2 linked regions of the Bombyx mori genome follow. The protein of the gene in region 2 binds, or shares a complex with, the protein of the main gene of each other region. Links are inferred from orthologs where the notes say so. Each region holds a gene or a part of one and is shown on either strand. Other genes may lie near its edges.

Evidence for each region.
Region 1: general transcription factor IIH subunit 2 (region 2) and general transcription factor IIH subunit 5 share a complex: the UniProt entries of both Caenorhabditis elegans proteins name them as parts of the 7-subunit TFIIH core complex. The link is inferred for Bombyx mori from reciprocal best matches to the Caenorhabditis elegans genes gtf-2H2C and gtf-2H5.

Annotation. Positions count from the first base shown.
Region 1 is NC_085109.1:11,974,008-11,984,351, forward strand, and holds the start of general transcription factor IIH subunit 5, read left to right. Parts: upstream 1-6,855; 5' UTR 6,856-6,982; coding exon 6,983-7,017; exon of another isoform or gene 7,018-7,247; coding exon of another isoform or gene 7,248-7,385; intron 7,386-8,021; coding exon of another isoform or gene 8,022-8,168; intron 8,169-8,286; coding exon of another isoform or gene 8,287-8,392; intron 8,393-8,906; coding exon of another isoform or gene 8,907-9,043; intron 9,044-9,658; coding exon of another isoform or gene 9,659-9,748; exon of another isoform or gene 9,749-9,754; coding exon 9,755-9,941; 3' UTR 9,942-9,949; intron 9,950-10,344. Other genes in the region: meiotic nuclear division protein 1 homolog, read right to left, coding at 7,248-7,385, 8,022-8,168, 8,287-8,392, 8,907-9,043, 9,659-9,748. UniProt on the Caenorhabditis elegans protein: Component of the general transcription and DNA repair factor IIH (TFIIH) core complex, which is involved in general and transcription-coupled nucleotide excision repair (NER) of damaged DNA and in RNA transcription by RNA polymerase II.
Region 2 is NC_085114.1:7,020,283-7,030,626, forward strand, and holds the end of general transcription factor IIH subunit 2, read right to left. Parts: 5' UTR 9,976-10,344; coding exon 9,917-9,975; intron 8,941-9,916; coding exon 8,739-8,940; intron 8,099-8,738; coding exon 7,959-8,098; intron 7,795-7,958; coding exon 7,632-7,794; intron 7,261-7,631; coding exon 7,162-7,260; intron 6,396-7,161; coding exon 6,220-6,395; intron 4,944-6,219; coding exon 4,812-4,943; intron 4,269-4,811; coding exon 4,160-4,268; intron 3,958-4,159; coding exon 3,820-3,957; 3' UTR 3,788-3,819; downstream 1-3,787. Other genes in the region: facilitated trehalose transporter Tret1, read left to right, coding at 1-305. UniProt on the Caenorhabditis elegans protein: Component of the general transcription and DNA repair factor IIH (TFIIH) core complex, which is involved in general and transcription-coupled nucleotide excision repair (NER) of damaged DNA and, when complexed to CAK, in RNA transcription by RNA polymerase II.

The sequences.
Region 1 (10,344 bases), on a different chromosome or scaffold from region 2:
GCGGGAGCTCAGACTCCTGGACGTCCATAAATCGAGTGGGCCAGACGGCATCCCCGCAGTGGTTTTGAAAACGTGCGCCCCTGAGCTGACACCTGCGCTAACGCGTTTGTATCGCCTCTCTTATTGCACTAACAGGGTTCCGTCTTCATGGAAGACCGCCCACGTCCACCCTATCCCCAAGAAGGGTGACCGGTCGGACCCATCGAGCTACAGGCCTATCGCGATAACTTCCTTGCTTTCCAAGGTGATGGAGCGAATTATAAATACACAACTCCTGAAGTATCTTGAAGATCGCCAGCTGATCAGTGACCGACAGTACGGTTTCCGTCACGGTCGCTCAGCTGGCGATCTTCTTGTATACCTTACTCACAGGTGGGCTGAAGCCTTGGAGAGCAAGGGCGAGGCTCTTGCTGTGAGCCTTGATATCGCGAAGGCCTTCGACAGGGTCTGGCATAGGGCACTTCTATCGAAGTTACCATCTTACGGAATCCCCGAGGGTCTCTGCAAGTGGATCGCTAGCTTTTTGGATGGGCGGAGCATCACGGTCGTTGTAGACGGTGACTGTTCTGATACCATGACCATTAACGCTGGCGTTCCACAAGGTTCGGTGCTCTCCCCCACGCTTTTCATCCTGTATATCAATGACATGCTGTCTATTGATGGCATGCATTGCTATGCAGATGATAGCACGGGGGATGCGCGATATATCGGCCATCAGAGTCTCTCTCGGAGCGTGGTGCAAGAGAGACGATCAAAACTTGTGTCTGAAGTGGAGAACTCTCTGGGGCGAGTCTCCAAATGGGGTGAATCGAACTTAGTTCAATTCAACCCGTTGAAGACACAGGTTTGCGCGTTCACTGCGAAGAAGGACCCCTTTGTCATGGCGCCGCAATTCCAAGGAGTATCCCTGCAACCTTCCGAGAGTATCGGGATACTTGGGGTCGACATTTCGAGCGATGTCCAGTTTCGGAGTCATTTGGAAGGCAAAGCCAAGTTGGCGTCCAAAATGCTGGGAGTCCTCAACAGAGCGAAGCGGTACTTCACGCCTGGACAAAGACTTTTGCTTTATAAAGCACAAGTCCGGCCTCGCGTGGAGTACTGCTCCCATCTCTGGGCCGGGGCTCCCAAATACCAGCTTCTTCCATTTGACTCCATACAGAGGAGGGCCGTTCGGATTGTTGATAATCCCATTCTCTCGGATCGTTTGGAGCCTCTGGGTCTGCGGAGGGACTTCGGTTCCCTCTGTATTTTGTACCGTATGTTCCATGGGGAGTGCTCTGAGGAATTGTTCGAGATGATACCAGCATCTCGTTTTTACCATCGCACCGCCCGCCACCGGAGTAGAGTTCATCCATACTACCTGGAGCCACTGCGGTCATCCACAGTGCGTTTCCAGAGATCTTTTTTGCCACGTACCATCCGGCTATGGAATGAGCTCCCCTCCACGGTGTTTCCCGAGCGCTATGACATGTCCTTCTTCAAACGAGGCTTATGGAGAGTATTAAGCGGTAGGCAGCGGCTTGGCTCTGCCCCTGGCATTGCTGAAGTCCATGGGCGACGGTAACCACTCACCATCAGGTGGGCCGCATGCCCGTCTGCCTACAAAGGCAATAAAAAAAAAAAAAAAAAAAAAAAAAAAAAAAAAAAAAAAAAAAAAAAAAAAAAAAAAAAAAAAAAAAAAAAAATTAAAGTTTAGGTCTTTTGTTTATCGATTGAGGCACTACGAACTCTGCCGGGTCAGCTAGTATTATTATATGTATTGTATGTAACCAAATTGTAAGATAGGTACTGTAAAATAACACATAAAAACAAAAAATGTTTATGAATTAGAAATAATTACTCTTATATAAATTAATTACAATATTATTATAACAAACTCAAATTAAAACAATAAGATTGTTTATTTATTGTATATCCGCGAATAGTGAAAACGAGAATGAAGGAAGCGCGAATAAGCAGTACTTACTGTATATTCAATAACAAGTATATAAACTGAACAGTGCCCATACTTTTCATACCATGCAAACTGCGGACAAGCTTCTCCCTCCGCTCTTTCGATCTCTTAAGAGTAAGAATAAAATTATTGTACCGACATCAACCATAGGTCGCCCGAGATAAATAAACCACTGCAAGCATCAGTGGATTAATTCAAACCAATTAGGTTTTTTTTTTATTGCTTAGATGGGTGGACGAGCTCACAGCCCACCTGGTGTCAAGTGGTTACTGGAGCCCATAGACATCCACAACGTAAATGCGCCACCCACCTTGAGATATAAGTTCTAAGGTCTCAAGTATAGTTACAACGGCTGCCCCACCCTTCAAACCGAAACGCATTACTGCTTCACGGCAGAAATAGGCAGGGTGGTGGTACTCACCCGCGCGGACTCACAAGAGGTCCTACCACTCGTAAAAATACCACCAAAAAAATATAGGTACCAAAATACAAGCCAATTTGTACGTATTAATTTTTATAATTCGATAGTACCTATATATTATTATGATTAATCTATTAATACGTGAAGCAACAACTTTGTACCCCTTTTTACGAAAATGGCACGGATGGAGGAGTATGAAATTTCCCACATAGAGAATATAGAGGAGTGCAGTGTTAATATTTTTTTTAAAATATGCATAAAAATAGATACATTAAATCAAGAAAAAAAAGACATTACACACACTAACATATTTGATACTTCACATACGCATGCATACTATTTGTTTATTGTCAAACTTTTCAGTCTGTGTGCTTAGGGCGAGTTTTTTATCCTTCTCGATACATAGCGTAAAAGTTAACCCAATTTTGTATGCAGTTGGAATGGCGCCCCTAGCGGCAAACGTAGGCAAACGAACCTATCTTAATTATTTTCTTATACCTTCGGTTCGGTTCGATTTCGATTTCGGGGGCGATAAATCGATCTAACTACGATTTATTTTCAGAAAATGCTGTTTTATTCGTGTTTTCAATAATCAACTCTTCCCGACATCTATTGGCGAATAATAATACTATTTTTCTTAATTGAGGGCAACTAACCGCCTTAAAGACAAAACAAGATGGAGTTATCAAAAAAAAAAAAAACGAGCAAAGCTCGGTCATCATCTAGTTCCATACAAATTTGAGCTAGCTATCGAGAACGTTAAAAAACTCGCACTAAGCACACTGTGCTCAAATTGTGAATAGAGCAATATTGTTTGTCTTGAATATAGTCTGGGCGAACTATGTGAATAAAGAAGTTTATTAGTGTACAAACTTAACATTTCAATTAATTATAGTCGAATTTCGACTACCGGGGGACCACTAGTATATACATATAAATAGTCGACTATAGGTGTAAGATTAAGTAAATAATCTGGTGCTACTCATAGTTGTAAATTAATTTAACGTATGTACAACGTATGAATTTGTATTTTTTTAATAAAAATTGTTCTAACAGATTTGTTTTTTGTTTTTATCAGAAATTATTATTTATTATACTTATGTCCTGGGAAAAACTGAAGATTTGAAATTATTAAAATGGAAACAATATATTATAAAATATATAAAAAACCAAATTAAACGCAAACTCGTGGTTTATCAACCTTTAAATATTTATGAGAACGCTTACACGGAGAAAGAGAAATGGTGCTAATTCGCTGGACAATACTTTTCTGTTTTTTTCTTTTTTTCTCCGGCATTTGTTTTTTTAATCCATAGGTGGTTGAACGACATCATAGAGCTACTTGTTTAATTGGTTACCGGAATCTAGGTGGACAAAGTGGTGGACATAAACGACATCTGAATGTGGGGATCGACAAAGTCTAAAAATCAACCCCTATCAATCACTGCAAGTTCTTATTTGAAACTTTAAAAAATACAGCATAAGTTATTACGTGATTTTGTTCTATTCACTAATAACTTAAGGAGCTACCTCTTCAAGTGACGCACGAATGGGTAGGCACATGGCTTCAATCTGAGAGAATTTGCTAACACTAGTCTTAGCAAGTGTAATGCTTCGCAGAATCTACCACCGATTGAAATCGCGACACACTAAGAAGATCCGGCGAGAAACTCAGTGGGTTGTGTCTATGGGTTAGTTCGCTCAGCGAACTCTTCATTTTAATCGACGAGTTAAACGAGGACTGGGAACGGTGCTTAAAGAGCCTAACAGCACCAAGAGTGGATCCGGTGGATCTCATTCAATTCCGCTCGCAACGCCATCAAGTACGGACGTGCTGTTTCGAAAAATTGTCGCTGTCATTGCGACCTTATTTTTCTCAAAACGTTGTCGCTGTAGTCGCGACCTTGAGTCGAAAACGCACAATTCGTGTTTGATTTGTTTTTGCGAACGAAAACTTCACTAGCTGTCTTTCTCAAGACAAAAAGCTCACTACGATCTGCTTGTTGTGGCGTGTCACAACTTCCCGGACTACATCCCAATTCCTACGCAATGTCGTTATTGAAGTGAAACTTCCTTATCGGCGTTGGAAAAAAATTTACCGTCACATTTTTCGGTTACGCGTCACTTTTTTCCGTTACGCGCCATCTGTTTTGTATTCATGTCTATGATAATAAAATCCTTTTGTTTAAACTTTATCTAATTTAACTTTTTTGTATTCATGTCTATGATAATAAAATCCTTTTGTTTAAACTTTATCTAATTTAACTTTATTTAACCAATTTCTAGAAAGTTGCATGTAGATCATTTTTCGAAAAATAAGGCCATAAACAAGTTTCACTTCTTACGTGTGTACACTAGTACACGCACACATTTTTTTCATTTAATTTCATCCCAGTTGATTAATGTCTTAAATTAATCATCTTCATTTCACTCCATATTATAATTTTTCATCAAATGAGTCGTCTATTATCAAAGGTGGCAATCTGTGCATTTGGACAAAAAAATGTTATTGATATGTCAATACAGATTGAGTTGAATATAATCGTCTCCTTCAAAGAATACGGTTCAAAACCTGCATTAAATAAAGGTTAATAGTTAACCTGTTATTTATCTAAGATGTCGTTCCGAAGAGTTTTGTGACTGCCAATGGAATACAAAGTCAATAATTCGTTTTTCTGATTTACCAATAATTGTCCAAAAGTCAGATTGCCGGCTTTGATAATAGTCGACTCAAATAAGCATTTATATTAAAATAAGACATGACTTAAAGGTCTTAGTTACCAGGTCATAAAATCCCTTAAAAAAAAAGCTTACACTTACGCCTTAAAGGCTTATTACACTTGGCTAAATTTAGTCGACTGAATTCAAAAGCAAATTTAGAAGCAAGTTGGAAGCTTCTGATTACACTGTTCTTAACTTCAGTTACTGAATCAATTGTCAGTATAAACGCGACGAAGTAGGACGTGTCGTGTGTGTGTGAATGGCCCCAGTATTATCTAAACAACAAAAAATTGGTCTAGGCGCAGACCTCGCTGTCGGCTCAATTGAAAAAAAAAAAAAATGAAGAGTATGGGCGAAGAAATATATATTGCTGCGCGGAAAGTTAGCAAATATGAACATTATGAGTGATTTATCTATCCGATGATATGTAGGAGAAGTAAAATGTCCCTTAGAAATAAGGTGACACTCTACAAAACTTGCATACGCCCCGTCATGACCTATGCAAGTGTAGTGTTCGCTCACGCGGCCCGCATACACTTGAAATCATTCCAAGTCATTCAATCCCGTTTTTGCAGGATAGCCGTCGGAGCCCCGTGGTTCGTCAGGAACGTCGACCTCCATGACGACCTGGACTTCGAGTCCACCAGTAAGTATATGCAGTCGGCGTCAATGCGCCACTTCGATAAAGCGGCACGACACGAGAACCCTCTCATCGTGGCCGCCGGTAACTACATTCCCGATCCTGCGGACAGAATGGAAAGCAGTCGACGTCGCCCAAAACACGTCATCTCGGATCCTCCCGATCCACTAACGGTGCTTTTAGGTACTTCAAGCACCGGTCACCGTTCTCGTCGAACCCGTCGCTTGCGACGAAGGGCTCGACGAGTAAATTAACTCTTAGACACAGCCCACTGAGTTTCTCGCCGGATCTTCTCAGTGGGTCGCGTTTCCGATCCGGTGGTAGATTCTGCGAAGCACGGCTCTTGCTAGGGTTCGTGTTAGCAACATCGTCAGGTTTGAGCCCCGTGAGCTCACCTACAAAAGTTAGGGTTACGCTGATATAGCCTCTCAAGGCTCTCAGCTTAGGCAGGAAAAAAAAAAAAAAAAAAAAAAAAAAAAAAGAATGATTTAGAACCAGCAGACTTCAGAAATGATCTACGAATGGATTCGAGGTCGTTTGACCAAATATTAAGCCTTGTGGCACAATTTTTTTCAAAAGCAGGATACTATCCTACGATACTACTATAGTCTATTATATATCTATATTATATAACTATTACATATCTAATCCTACGATAGTATAAGTCCAAAAGAAAGATTGGTTGTAACATTAAGATTTCTTGCAACAGGAAATTCGTATCAAGATTTAATTTTTAGTTCTTTATAATATCCCAACCCCTTCTGACAAAAATTATCCCTGAAACAAGTTGGGCTATTTATAAATGTTTGGCACATTTAATAAAGGTGAGCGAAATAAATACTTTTTATTCGGAAGTAAAAAACAAACTAAGCCGTCCTTACGCACGGAGAGCTATGGGACGACTGAAATCATTAAGTAACTAAATGCGATTACACCTTCTTATATGCGTTTCTAATTAGGCTTCTAAATGATTTAGTCAGTCAGAAACCATCCTTGCTACTGAATTTAGCAGGTTAACTTACTGAATGCTATTACACCGACTAAATTTAGCAAAGTGTAATGAGCCTTCCACACTTACCCATAAATAATAGATATTAAGTGTATAGTCTATGAATAATAGTTTATAATAGTAATAGTATTCTGTATAACCTATGGTATCTACTGAAAGTAGGGAGTAAATAGGTACCTACATACTTTATTTACAATTAATTATTACATAAAGTGACAAGTTCTAAAACAATGAACCATGGTGAATGTAATGAAAGGTGTCCTCGTTGAATGGTATTTATTATTTTTATTTCTCACAAATATTACTTTTACATATGCAAACTTACAGATAAAGTTAGAATCGTTACAATGTGCTTTAATGATTTGAATTTTAAATTACATCAGTTAATCAATTTACTACGTACAATATATTAACTTGCCAAAGAATTTCTTCTTTGGTTTTTCCCATACTTAAATTTAATGTTCTGGGCCTAGGTTATGAGGAATGCCTTGTATATAAAACTTCATTCAATGTAATCCATATCTTTAGGTATGTTAAAATTTTCTTCTAGTGCATCAATATCTATTTGAAAACTATTTTTTATATAAGATTTCAATATATATACATTTTCTGTCCATCTGTTGCTGGCTGTTTTCAATTCCTACAAAATGAAACATTTTTAATCCAATATTATTATTTGATAATATTATAGTTATGTCTTTGGTTATACATACTACCACCTACAGAAAGCTATTTATCAAAACATAGTATTTTTTTAAATGTACTTTGTTTTCCTTATTTTTAAATAATGAATACAATGCTTAATTAATATACTGATAAGTTATATTGAGTAATATTACCCACCAAATAATAAAATATATATTTTCTAGCATGAAATAGACATGTTAGACTTAAAAGTCATTACCAGTTGTAAGCTCATACAGTTTTGTCATTCTGCCTACATCTGCCAAAAAAAATATACACATTCCAGTTTGATCAGTTCACTTGGCCTTTATGAAATATAATAGTAACTGATCTAATGTGTGCAATATTAAAGTGGGTAGCAGAAGTCACATTGTGATACCTATCAACTTCAGTAACTTACTTAACACTTCAGAAACACTAAATACTATACTACTATAGAAAGGCCATGAACTGATTCATCAATTACTAAATCCTTAAACTTGGGACATTGGCCTTATCTATTGCGCTCACAGTGGGGCGCTAATATGAGCTTGAATGGAATATAGACCTTAAGACATCATCTCATCTACATTAATATAAGAATTGGATTTACAGTTATTTCACGTCTCAGTTGTGCAATATATTCAGGATCAGATTCTCTGTATTTTTGTAATTCTCTCTTATATGAAGCCTCTTGCTTTTGAAGATCTTCTAAAGATGATAATATTTTTATTCTTTCTTCAGATATCTCTCTGCCTTTCTAATATTAAAGTCAATTAATAAATATATCAGTCTCTGATAAATATAGAATAGAATTAAGTTTCATTATAACTCTATAGACTATACTATACTAAGTAAAAAACTATAAATATTCTGACCGATTCTGCTATAAGGACTTCCTCAGTTTTCTTTAACTTCTTCGTACATTCATCAAATTCATTCTGGAGTTCTTGTAGCTTCCTCTTCTTGGTACTTTTTGCTTTGCTACAAGTAATTTATTTAATGTTTGCATGGCATTACCACAGCTTGCTTGATTTGAAAAATAATTTTGCAGTCATAAATTTTTAAAAAGCACAATTGTTTACTCTTAATTTCTCATAGCATCAGTGTGTAAAGTCCATGTAAATTTTATTATTCAAAATAATAAAACTAGTCTTAGTCAATGACTGACTCGGTGGTGCAAAAGTTGGCACCCCTGACTGCCGAAAGTTGTGGATTCGATTCCCATATTGGGCAAAAATTTATTCATTCAGCTTTACTGCTTACATGAGTCCACCTGGTTTTACATGGTAACCGAAGCCCATAGACATTACAACATAAATGCTGCCACCTGCCTTGAGACAAGATTTCTAAGGTCTCAGTTGTAACAGCATGATGACCTAACACCCTTCAAACCGAAATAAATAACTGCTTAATGGCAGAAATAGGCCAGATTTGACGCCAGATGATAATGTACTGTTCTGTTCCCAGTTATTTAGTTAGTTGTTTAACATAGTACCTTGGGAAAGACCAAAAGTACACTGAAGTCCCAATTTTTTCAGAATCAACCAGGTGATCATCAATTAGACTCTGAATCACTTCTTTAACTGATTGCATTGTAATACCCTTTTCTTTTGGTGCTATTTTTTCTAGTTCCTGTAAAAGTTAAAATATAAAATATTATCTTAATAGATTTTGTTATGGCCACTTCTGTTTTATGTGCTGTCTAAACATTTTCTTTTGAACTAATTATTGACTATTTGGTGACTCAACTAACATGATCACCAACAAATAAGAAATTGGACTCCTACCAAGTAAGTCAAATGATGAGTAAACATTCGTGAAAACTTCATTTATTATTACTTTGCTCTCAATTAATTAAAAAACGACCTTGCATTGCTAGTAAGTAAGAAACTCCAGACACTATTTCACACTGTCTCATTTATCCTAAATAAGAGATATATTTTATTGCTTAGTTGAGTGGAAGAGCTTAATACCCACCCCTGGTGTATGTGATTAGGTTACTGGAGTCAACAGACATCACAATGTATGTGCCACCCATCAGTATTATCAGATTTCATTAATTATTTATTGTGAAAGTCATTTATAAACATGTTTAATTACAAAGTTCATTACTAAAATTGGCACCTAACCGCTGGGTTTAAACATTGCTATAATAATACTGTTTAATATGAGTACATCTGGCATCTTATCGTTTAGGGCAGAGTGACATCGAAAGCTATGTATGAAGTTGTAATTTAATGAGGTTACCTTTAATTGAAAAAAATCTTGACTTTGATGGAATATTTCAAGCATTCTGGTCTTCTTTTCATCAGCACTAAGACCTCGTTTCTTGGACATTTTCAGTGATCCGGCAATGAAACAATTCTTACTACACTTGGATGAAACTCTTGCACTTGGTAGAAAGTTTATTCTTCAAGACCTGGATGAAACACACTTGTTCATATCAGCTGATATTGTGGAGACTCTACAAGCTCGCGTTGACGATTTAATGGACCAGCTCAGCATACCCGTGCACGATAAAGGATTATAAATTACGAGGTAAATATTCAAACATATTTGTATAATATATGGTGATAGAGATCCGCATTTGTGCGCGAATCGCGAAATTTTACTTCATCATCATCATCATCATCAGCCTTTATCTGCCCACTGCTGGACATAGGCCTTCCCCAATGCCTTCCACATAATGCTTTTTTTTATTAATATTATTAGGTTTATGTATGATTCGATTTTCAATTTTTATAGTTTTACTTCTTATTTAACCTATTTATCCTTATAGTCTTATTTGTAAATAAAAAATATTTATATTAAATAATATTTAAAAAAAGACTAAACAACACGCTTTTATAGAAAATTCAACAAAAAAAAAATTAAAATAAATTATTTATATAAAAGCGTGGGGTGCGCGGTGTCAATAGTTCGAGATATTTTAT
Region 2 (10,344 bases):
CGGGGCTTATGATAGGCGAATTACTGCCCACCAAAGTCCGTGGGCTCTGCGGAGGCTATATTTTCTGTTTCTTTAATTCATTCCTTTTTGGTTTTACCAAACTTTACCCTGCGATGATGAAGAATATAGGAATAGCGGCTGTCTTTAGTTTCTTCGGTATTTCCGCTGCTCTTGCCACAATTCTACTTTTCCTTTTATTACCAGAGACGAAAGGGAAATCTCTTTTACAAATAGAACAGTATTATCAAAAGCCGAATATATTGTGGCTGTCTCGTAAAAAAACAACCGGTAGTCAAAACGTTTGAGCCATTGTTTATTAGTTAAATAAACTGTGATTGACATATGTTACTTGACATATTATTGTAGGTACTTAAAAATATATATTTGTTGTGATAAACATAACCGCAGTGATATGTCATTAACTTACATAAATATATAAATCGTGGCATATGTTTATTTGCCGCCGTGACCTTAAAGAATATTATATGGTCTTCTCGCATTAAAACTGTATAATAATCTCAAAACTTACTAATTTTAGAGGAGAGTGTTTAAAAGGTTTAAAATGTGATATTTTTAATATTAATCATCTTTGTAACATTTATTTTTTATTTTTTACCAGTTACATTATCTGTCTTTTAAAGTAAGATAAAATTATACATTAATTTTTTGAATAGTAGTCAAAACATAGGTAAACTAAAAAAAACTAAAACTAAACTACGTTCTATTGACAGTTTTTATGAGAAAAATACTGGTGATACCAAATGATTCCGCATATTAATTCAATTTCGAATATTTTTGGAAATGTGTAGTGCACTTTTAATGCGAAAAGACGATGTTAAATCCTATAATGTGCCTTGTTAATTAAATTAATTAATATTTTGACGTAAATATATATCGAGTGTATTACGAAATACATGGTTTAGGGAAATTAAAACCGCAAGCTGATTTGCGTAATTTTCAATTGTAGGGCATGTTGAAAGGCCACAAGGGCCAGAACCACAGTCCTATTTCTGCAAAGGAATTGTTAAATTAATCCTATGCAATAACGACTTCGACCTTGTGTCTCTAGTCTGAAGGTGAACAACGGAATTCAGATTATGATCTCTATGCGCTTTATAAAAGGCGTGACCTTATCACCCTATTTGACCTAAAAATAAGTTGACAAACAACATTTGAAGTTCCAGTAAAAACTTACACTAGATAAGAGAGCTTATCAGCAAATCTGTGGCAAAGAAATACCTACAACATTATTTGGGAATAGCAAAGTATACATTTTTAGATATTTGTGTGTTGATATATACATTTGCATCTAAAGCTTGAGATAACTTATCAGCGAAACTTATATTGCATAACGCACATAAATGATGGAACATAAAACGTTTAAATTCATAGAAATAAGATTATGATCTTACATCATTATATATTATGTCCATGATATATTAACTATATATTTTGTGATATCTCTACGATTTTACATATGAATGGAAAAAAATATGTTGCTAAACTTATAGGTACGTGTGTAACACCAAAAATATAGTAAAATATATAATTTTGTATGTAAAGGCATTTAAAGACGTGTATCTGTGATTAAATCAGTAACGTTGTCCTACTGTATTATGTACCGAAGCACAACTTTATACTGTAAGTAGTATTATTGACAATGAATCTTCTATGACACAAGTTATTCGAATGTTACAAAGATTTGAATAAAAGTATTAAATTTACCATGCATATTTTTTATTTTCACAACTTACGAGAAATTTACCTCCATCAAATTTTGATTTATATAATTTTCAATATTTTTTTTGTTGCTTAGGTGAATGGTCGAGCTCACAGCCCACCTGGTGATAAGTGGTTACTGGAACCCATAGACATCTACAACGTAAATGCGCCACGCACCTTGAGATAAGTTCTAAGGTCTCAATGTAGTTACAACGGCTGCCCCACCCTTCAAACCGAAACGCATTACTGCTTCACGGCTGAAATAGACAGGGAGGTGGTACCTACCCGTGCGGACTCACAAGAGGTCCTACCACCAGTAAAAATACTATTTATAGTACTATTTATAGAAATTCTCAACAACAGATACATGATGTCAAATTTAAATACATATCACAATAAAATTACTATCCGTGTTTATGTCTACGATAACATTCAATATGAACTAATGTTTAGTTATCTTATCAATCAAAGGTTAAGGACTCAAGTATGATATCAACCCACTTAAATCTAGCGACGTAAAACTTATCGTAAAATGGTACTATTATTTTGCGTCAGTGCCCCTTACTGTTGGCTCTTTGTCGCGGCCAGCTCTGACTGATGTTGGCGTTAAATTATTATAAAAATTTGAAATCTCTCATTTAGTCTGTTAGGCCTGCTCAGCGCGGAAATACTAGGAGACAAGAAGCTCCCATATTGTCTTGGCACATGTATTCTATGGCAAGTATAGTAGTGAGAGATTAGTTAGTTTTCCGGGAATTATGGATGCGCCGGCACAAGAGGTGTAACGTAGATTAAGACATATGCAGAGGTAGATAGCGGAATGACTGAGCCTCTTATACTGCCGATGTCCACGAGCGGAAATAAGCTACACGCTATCAGTTGTGCCATATACATCGAGCGCTACAAAAATAGATCAGCTCGGACTTCTACTGAACATAGTTCAAATTTTGGACAACATGGCGAAATGTAAAGACCATTGCTAATACAAACAAATATCGCAACAATTTACTGGTGGTAGGACCTCTTGTGTGTCCGCGCGGGTAGGTACCACCACCCTGCCTATTTCTGCCGTAAAGCAGTAATGCGTTTCGGTTTGAAGGGTGGGGCAGCCGTTGTAACTATACTGAGATCTTAGAACTTATATTTCAAAGTGGGTGGCGCATTTACGTTGTAGATGTCTATAGGCTCCAGTAGTACCTAAATAAATAAAGATCACAAGTTTTACTCGCAGCTTCGCGATGTCAAGGAAAAGCGTTTTTTTTTTCTAGTCTCACGTCATTTTTCTAAAGATAATAAAACAGTTTCCCGTGGGAATGACATATATTTTCAGGATAAAAATTGGCACTGCTGATCTAAAACTATCCTTTTATGACAATCCGTTGCTTCGTTTGGACGTGAAACGACACTTTGACGTTCATAATATTACATCGATATATTACCACATGGTAATAATATGTGGTAATATATCCATGTAATATTAGTTTAATATGAATTATTCTAAGGCGAAGGGAACGAACGTTGACACTTGTCTCCTTAGTCTTCCACCACTTTCCTCTATTTTTCTTACCAAATAATATTCAATTGTTAGCGTTTATTGAGCTCGTTTCATGCGAAACAAACGCCGACTGAACGACGCACCGGTGAATGAGTTGATATTAATTTGACCAACGCGATCTCCTCCCGATATGCGATTACATATTTCCGCACAATACACGTAATCAATCGCAAAAAAAAAAGGTGCGATGTGAAAGAAGTGAAACTTCTGCGTACTATTGTTCTTCATTTTTCATCCTTAAATCAAATTTCTCTTGTATAAGAGAATGCTGTGTATAAGAGAAACGACCTAGCTCGCTTTGTCATTTCCCTCTCCAGGGTCGAGTGGTTCGCGAGACGGTTTCTCTATTTTCTCAGTCTCACTCGTCCTAAATTGTATCTTTTCTCTCTAAGCGTAACGAATCTGTCGCGAGTTAAATTTTACTCTCAACGCGCCTAAAGAAGTTTCACTTCAAAAAAGTCCCTTTGCGATGGTTATTATATAATTGCACGAAAAATAATACAACAAGTGTTCATTCATTTATTCATTTATTAATTCATTTATTACGATGAGGTCGTGCTTGGTAGCCGCTGGTACAAATGAGGTCTGGTGGCGCAGCCAGGACACACGTGCAGCGTGGCCGTCACCGCGCCCTCGCACTCCCAGCAGTAGTACTCTTTACATCGGGGACAACGATGTATCTACAAACAAAAATTTATATATTCAAAAATCGACTCTATTGCTCTTAGAATAACTTCTACACACACACACGCAAGTTTTCGTCGTTAATGAATGCTCGGTATGAAAATTTTATTTTAGAAATATTAATACAATTACGTTAAAACGAAACATGTAGACTATTTACAGGAAAGGCAGATAAAAAATGTGAGACATGTAACATACCTTCTTGTCTATATCGGTGAAGGTTCTTAAGCATCCAAAACAATACTGCGCCTGGCCATCATTATCTAATTCTTCATAAGGTTCCACTGGAAACAGGTGATGGTATGATCTACAATAAGATTAGAAATTATGAAAATCGATTTACAATTACAAACACGAATAAAATTAAACCTGCAAAAAATTATAAGTTTACTATGTAAATCTGCTGCAGAGCATTTTCAAATTCAAAACTAGAATATACTTGGATGTCCTCCGGTCAGTATATCGGTGTTCAAACCACCCGGTAAGGGAAATATAGGGGGAGAAACTATAGGTCAACCATTTATTTTAGGGCCTTTTTTTTCTACGTATGCTGAAGGCCTTGAGAGACTATTTCAGCTTCACCCTGACGTGTAGGTGAGATCACGGAGCTCAAACCGGAAGTATTGCTAACACTGGCCTTAGCAATAACAGTGATTCGCATAATCTACCACCGGATCGGAAACGCGACCCACTGAGAAGATCCGGCGAGAAACTCAGTGGGCTGTGTCTGAAGGTTAATTTACCGGTGACCGGGCAGGCCCATGATCTTCTGTGCTCATCTACAGCAATATAAGACTTTATCTCGTAAAACAAATATCGTTTGAAGAAAGGGGTCGTTTGACAGATGTACCTTGCAAGATGTGGTGCTGATGCGAGTGTCAGGCCGCAGGTGCGACACTGAGCTGGCAACGAACAATACTTGGAGCGGCACTGCGGACACAGGTGACCCTCGCCGCCTATACCTTCGCCTTCCTCCAAATGACTGAACAAAAATAAGAGTTTAAAAAAAATAAAAACGATGCGCGTGCAACTTGGTGCACGTGAATGAAGTGAAGCTTCTTATTCCATGAGTAATATTGTGTTTTTTTTTCATTTCTCATCCTTAAATCAGATTGCTCTTGTAATAAGGAATGCTGTGTATAAGAGATGCGACATCTTCATCATTACATATATAGGTAAGGATATACGTATATAGGTATTTTTTTTAAATACTTCATTAAAATATTGGACGCTACTCGTTGGTAACGCCCTGGCTGTAGCAGGTATACAACGCGCAAGCGTTCGAGTGCCACGGATTCACTCTCGCTCTGTCTCTTTCTATTCCATGGTAGCGTTAAAAGTTTAACGCAAACTTGTTGGAAGTCGCATTAGAAGTTTCACTTCAAAACGTAAAGGAATAACACCGTGTAATAAAAATCAAACCCGCAAAATTATAATTTGCGTAATTACTGATGGTAGGACCTCTTGTGGGTTCGCACGGGTAGGTCCCACCACGCTGCCTATTTCTGCCGTGAAGCAGTAATGCGTTTCGGTTTCAAGGGTGGGGCAGCCGTTGTAACTACACTGAGACCTTAAAGCTCATATCTCAAGGTGGGTAGCGGCATTTACGTTGTAAATGACTATGGACTCCGGTAACCACTTAACACCAGGTGGGCTGTGAGCCACACATCTATAAAAAAAATAATAATAATAGTAATAATAAGTCCCTAAAAGCCTCTCAAAACATCTCGAGAGGCTTGGTCTCAACGAAAAGTCGGTGGTGGCCCAAATGCAAAAAGCAGTCTTGCTCGACAATGCCCGGATAGTTTGCCGGTTTCTCTCCCAATAGTCCCTAACGCTCCGGCCAATTGTTGCCCACCTCGCCGGTGTGTCTTGCCGTCTTCCCAGGCGAGGCAGTGTTTAATACACATAATAATAATAACAATAACACTCATTCCTTACCATCTTCACCATAGCCTTAAATTAATCACTCTCAAACAAAATCTCTAATTAACCCTCCAAAAAGCCGCTATTTTAAACACCTGCCGAATCGTGAGGAAGTTTATGCAGGTTGACGATAACACACCAACATTAACATCAAGCAATTAGCACTTGGCTTACGCCCGTGCTACCATGAAATTACCGGCTCCGCCGAGAAAAGTGGTCGATAAAAATAATAACACTACAGACAAACGCATTTCATGAAAGTTTAGATTTACGCTAAGCGTTTCTTTCGTTCTTTCTCAAGTTTTAAAATTTAAGCAAGACACGGAACTCACCACATACAAACAGTAATAGGTGGATCGACATTAGCCCCTGGGTCGGCTTGTTCCTCGAGCGGCGTTGAATGCGGGAAGCCCATCTTCACCAGGCCCGCGTCCAACGAGCGGGCGCGGGGCGGCGGCGACGTGTACTCTAGTAGCAGTGACTGGTAGTGACAATCGTCTAATACCACCTAAAAACATATTATGTACATCGTTAGCAAATTGGCTTACTAACAAAAAAAAAATTAAGAAGTAAATAAAAGAACTATGTATGTACTTTTGTTTTTAAACCTGAGTTTAACAGTCATGCTTTAATACCTTTTATATTGTACACTTTTCCCCTCTTATGCATCGTATTTCTCTCTGCTAATGGTTTGCTGGAAGAAAACTCATGAATGAGTTAAGCTCGCCTTTGTAGGTACATAGTATTTAGACATTCTTTTTAATCTGTTTTTATTGTATTTTCTCTTTTGTGTACAATAAGTATAAATAAAATAAATAAATACTTATTAACAAAAATATACATTTATTATTTTAAGAAAAAATATTTTTTTTTTATATTATGTACATACATAATTATTTTAGAAAAATGGTAAATAAAATATTGAGGTTATTCAATTGGTCTCGCATAATACTCTTCTACTGGAATCTCGATAAACGCACCTCCACATGCACGTACACAGAACAACAACCGCAGTCTCACAGAAAGAAATAAAGAGAAAGAGTAAAGTAGCATGGAGGACTTTTTTTCTTGCGTGATAATTTCTACAAGGCATATTCTATCACAACATCAATAACAAATTCCGTAACTATAACATTTTATATCAAATAGTGGGACAGAAAAAGAGTCCTTAGCGGCTAGTTCAAAAATAAAAGCAGTCTTAAATAAGCTCTTTTTAATAACAATGCTTACATACAAAAGCGAAACTGCGAAATTATCAATAGAGAATAGCTTACACCATAATCTCCATTAGTGTCTTGACACATTTTTTTGCAAATCCGCACTTCAGCAGCTAGACCAATAACAGAACATCTAATTCCATCTGTTTTTAGTGTCTACAAAAAGATAAAAATAATTAAATATCTAATCTAATAAATAAATATTATCTCACAGTATAGTTTATTTTAGGTTATTGAAACAAACAAAACTTTCATTGAAATACCAAGTTTTGGATTTAAAATGCTAACACAACATTATTAGTATTACTTGCCATATAAAGTGGAGAAGTCTGTCTCAATTGATCGTCAATGGCGCAGGTCACCAGTGGACATCAGCAATGCAAAGAACTTGTTAAAGCTAAACAAAAACTGAGCTTTATGGAGTGTCGTGGAACCATGTTAAATATCTTTACGGATTTCTATTTTAACAAATCTGTGGTGATCAACAAAAGTAAAATAAGGCATTTCAATAATCAAAACTGTCTTACTTCTATGGTAGTGTTTATATCACTTGGATCGCAAGTTGTAAGGGATGCGAAAAGCACTAGTAATTCTCTTGACGCGTGTCCAGGCAGAGGCCTTAGGATTCGCCCAGCCAGCTCTAGCGTATTTTGTAATGATGGCTCTCCAGTCAGCGGAGTGTTGGATAAACTGTTTAGAGAACTTTTTGTTTTATTTTTTCAAATAACTAAAAGCTTTTGTTTATATGACATATTTAATTGATTTTTCTATCATTTTTCGATAAAACTATTAATGTCAAGTTAATAAAAGTAATATATTGAAATTAATAAATACAACAATAATTTAATACTTGCCCTTGTATGGCTTTAATGTGTTTCCGGACATTTCCAGATAGGTCAGTTATTTTCTCAGCTCTCTTATTCTTCATTGCTATTAAACCAAGCTGACTGAGAGGATTCTGGTCAAAAAACTCTTCAACAAATTTCTCGAGCAACTAGAAATATACACAGATTAAACTTATTAAATAAAATTGTATTTATAGCTTCATTAGAACATGATTTCTTCTCACTAATGGGGGTACACCCTACGTCTCGCAAACATTTGTGACCATGGAGCTGTTATATCATGGCCTATGCTGTCTATCTGTGAAGAATATTAACTATGCCCATGATGAAGTTCAAACACTGTTAAATATTATTATAGTATTTACAAATTGCATGCAAAAAAAATCAGCCAGCTGACAAAACAAAGGCATAGATGGTATACAAGTAATTATAGTTATATAGATATAGAAATATGACAGAGAAACAAAATCAATTGGTTAAACACTGAAGGACTGCTTTGTAACTTTTCTGAGTAAACTACTCCAGTTGTCCGTATTGCAAAAAAGAATGGAGACATTCATCTCTATTGAAATGAACTGAATACAATTAATCAAGCTACAGAGTTAGCCAATGGCCACTGCATATGAAGTGTTAGCCATGATATCTGGATGTCAACTTCCAACCTTTATGCTTCTACTCAAATGGTAGTTACAATACAAAGACACCAGGTATATCTAATAAACTTTAAACTACTTAATAGCATACAGCTCAGCCTCTAGCAGTTTATGAAGGTAAAAGATATTTCTTTACCTTCAATGTGCACAGAAACCGTGAAGGTTTCAAATCTTGGGAGCTCATAGCCTCAGAACAATCTATGGCTAAAAGTAAATGCCTCATCATGCCAAGTCTGACTGGACCTTTACGAGGAGCAGCTGCTTTACGTGCTGCTTTCTGGGCAAATTCAGCCACCAGGCTTTCAACCAACCCATCTTCATCTTCTTTAATAGCCTCCCTACACATAAATATTTAATTTATGATTCAATAGACACATAACATATATGTTAAAAACTGTAAAACTAAAGAGTAATCAGAGTAAATTAAAGTATTATGAAGAATTTTCAAAAACAAACTTGTAATTACACTTTATTTTTATAACATATATTCATTATTTTTTAGAATATGGTGAAATCATAAGGTTAAAGTTAAAGATTTCCAGTAATTTGCTGTGTGTAGGCCTCATTGAATTTGTAATGGTGGCCCAAGATGATCGCTCGTCGTGTTTGTTAATATCTGAACAGGTTTTATTTAGTTTATCTGTAGTTTAGCAAAATAAAAAATAGGCTCTCTGTATAACTGTCATTACTGGTGGTAGGACCTCTTGAGAGTCCGCGCGGGTAGGTACCACCAACCTGCTTATTTCTGCCGTGAAGCAGTAATGCGTTTCGGCTTGAAGGGTGGGGCAGCCTAACTATACCTGAAATCTTAGAAGTTATGTCTCAAGGTGGTTGGCGCATTTACGTCGATATCTATGGGCTCCAGTAACCACTTAACATCAGATGGGCTGTGAGCTCGTCCACCCATCTAAGCAATAAAAAAAACTTAATAATAATAGACTACTTTGCAATCGCATTTGCCTGTTACCACATTACAGTATCTATCTATCATCAGCCCGCAGACGGCGACTGCTAGATATAAGCTAAGACCCGCCAAAACGACCAGTCCTGCACTGCTAAGATTTTGCAGATTCCAGCCACATTCAACAATACAGACAATAGTATGTTCTATTCAATAGTATGCATGAAAGACATTAACGAGTCTTTCAGGAAAAGGTAAAAAAATAATTTAAATTGATTCATTAACGTTAACTGTTTCTATATTTGATTTTTAATAAAATGGAAGTTCGCTTTGAAAGGTTAGCCTTGTGTATTTACAAACAAATAAACGTAAATAAATAAACATAATAACAATACAACTATAAATTTTCTAACCAAGTTTTTTCATAACCAGTTTCCCATCGATACTCTTTAGGGTCATCTTCATCAGCCATTATTAATTATTTACTAAAATTTAAAGTTTAAAATCAACTTTTATTTGCATTTCAAGGTTTATCAATCAAGTGCTAGGTGCTAGGTATGTATGTTTTTTAAGGGGTTTTATGACCTGGTAACTAAGACCTTTAAGTCATGTCTTATTTTAATTGAAATTCTTATTTTTATGAAAAATGTTAATATGGAGTGAATGAAATGAAATGAAGATAATTAATTTGAGACATTAATCAACTGGGATGAAATTAAATGAAATGTAATCTCAGTAAAATGGTGGTCATTTATTGAGATTTTTTCAGTGGACTTTTTGGAGGATCCCGAGAAGTTACATCCAGCGACTTTGTTCTATTTTCCCACATTTGTGCACTTTC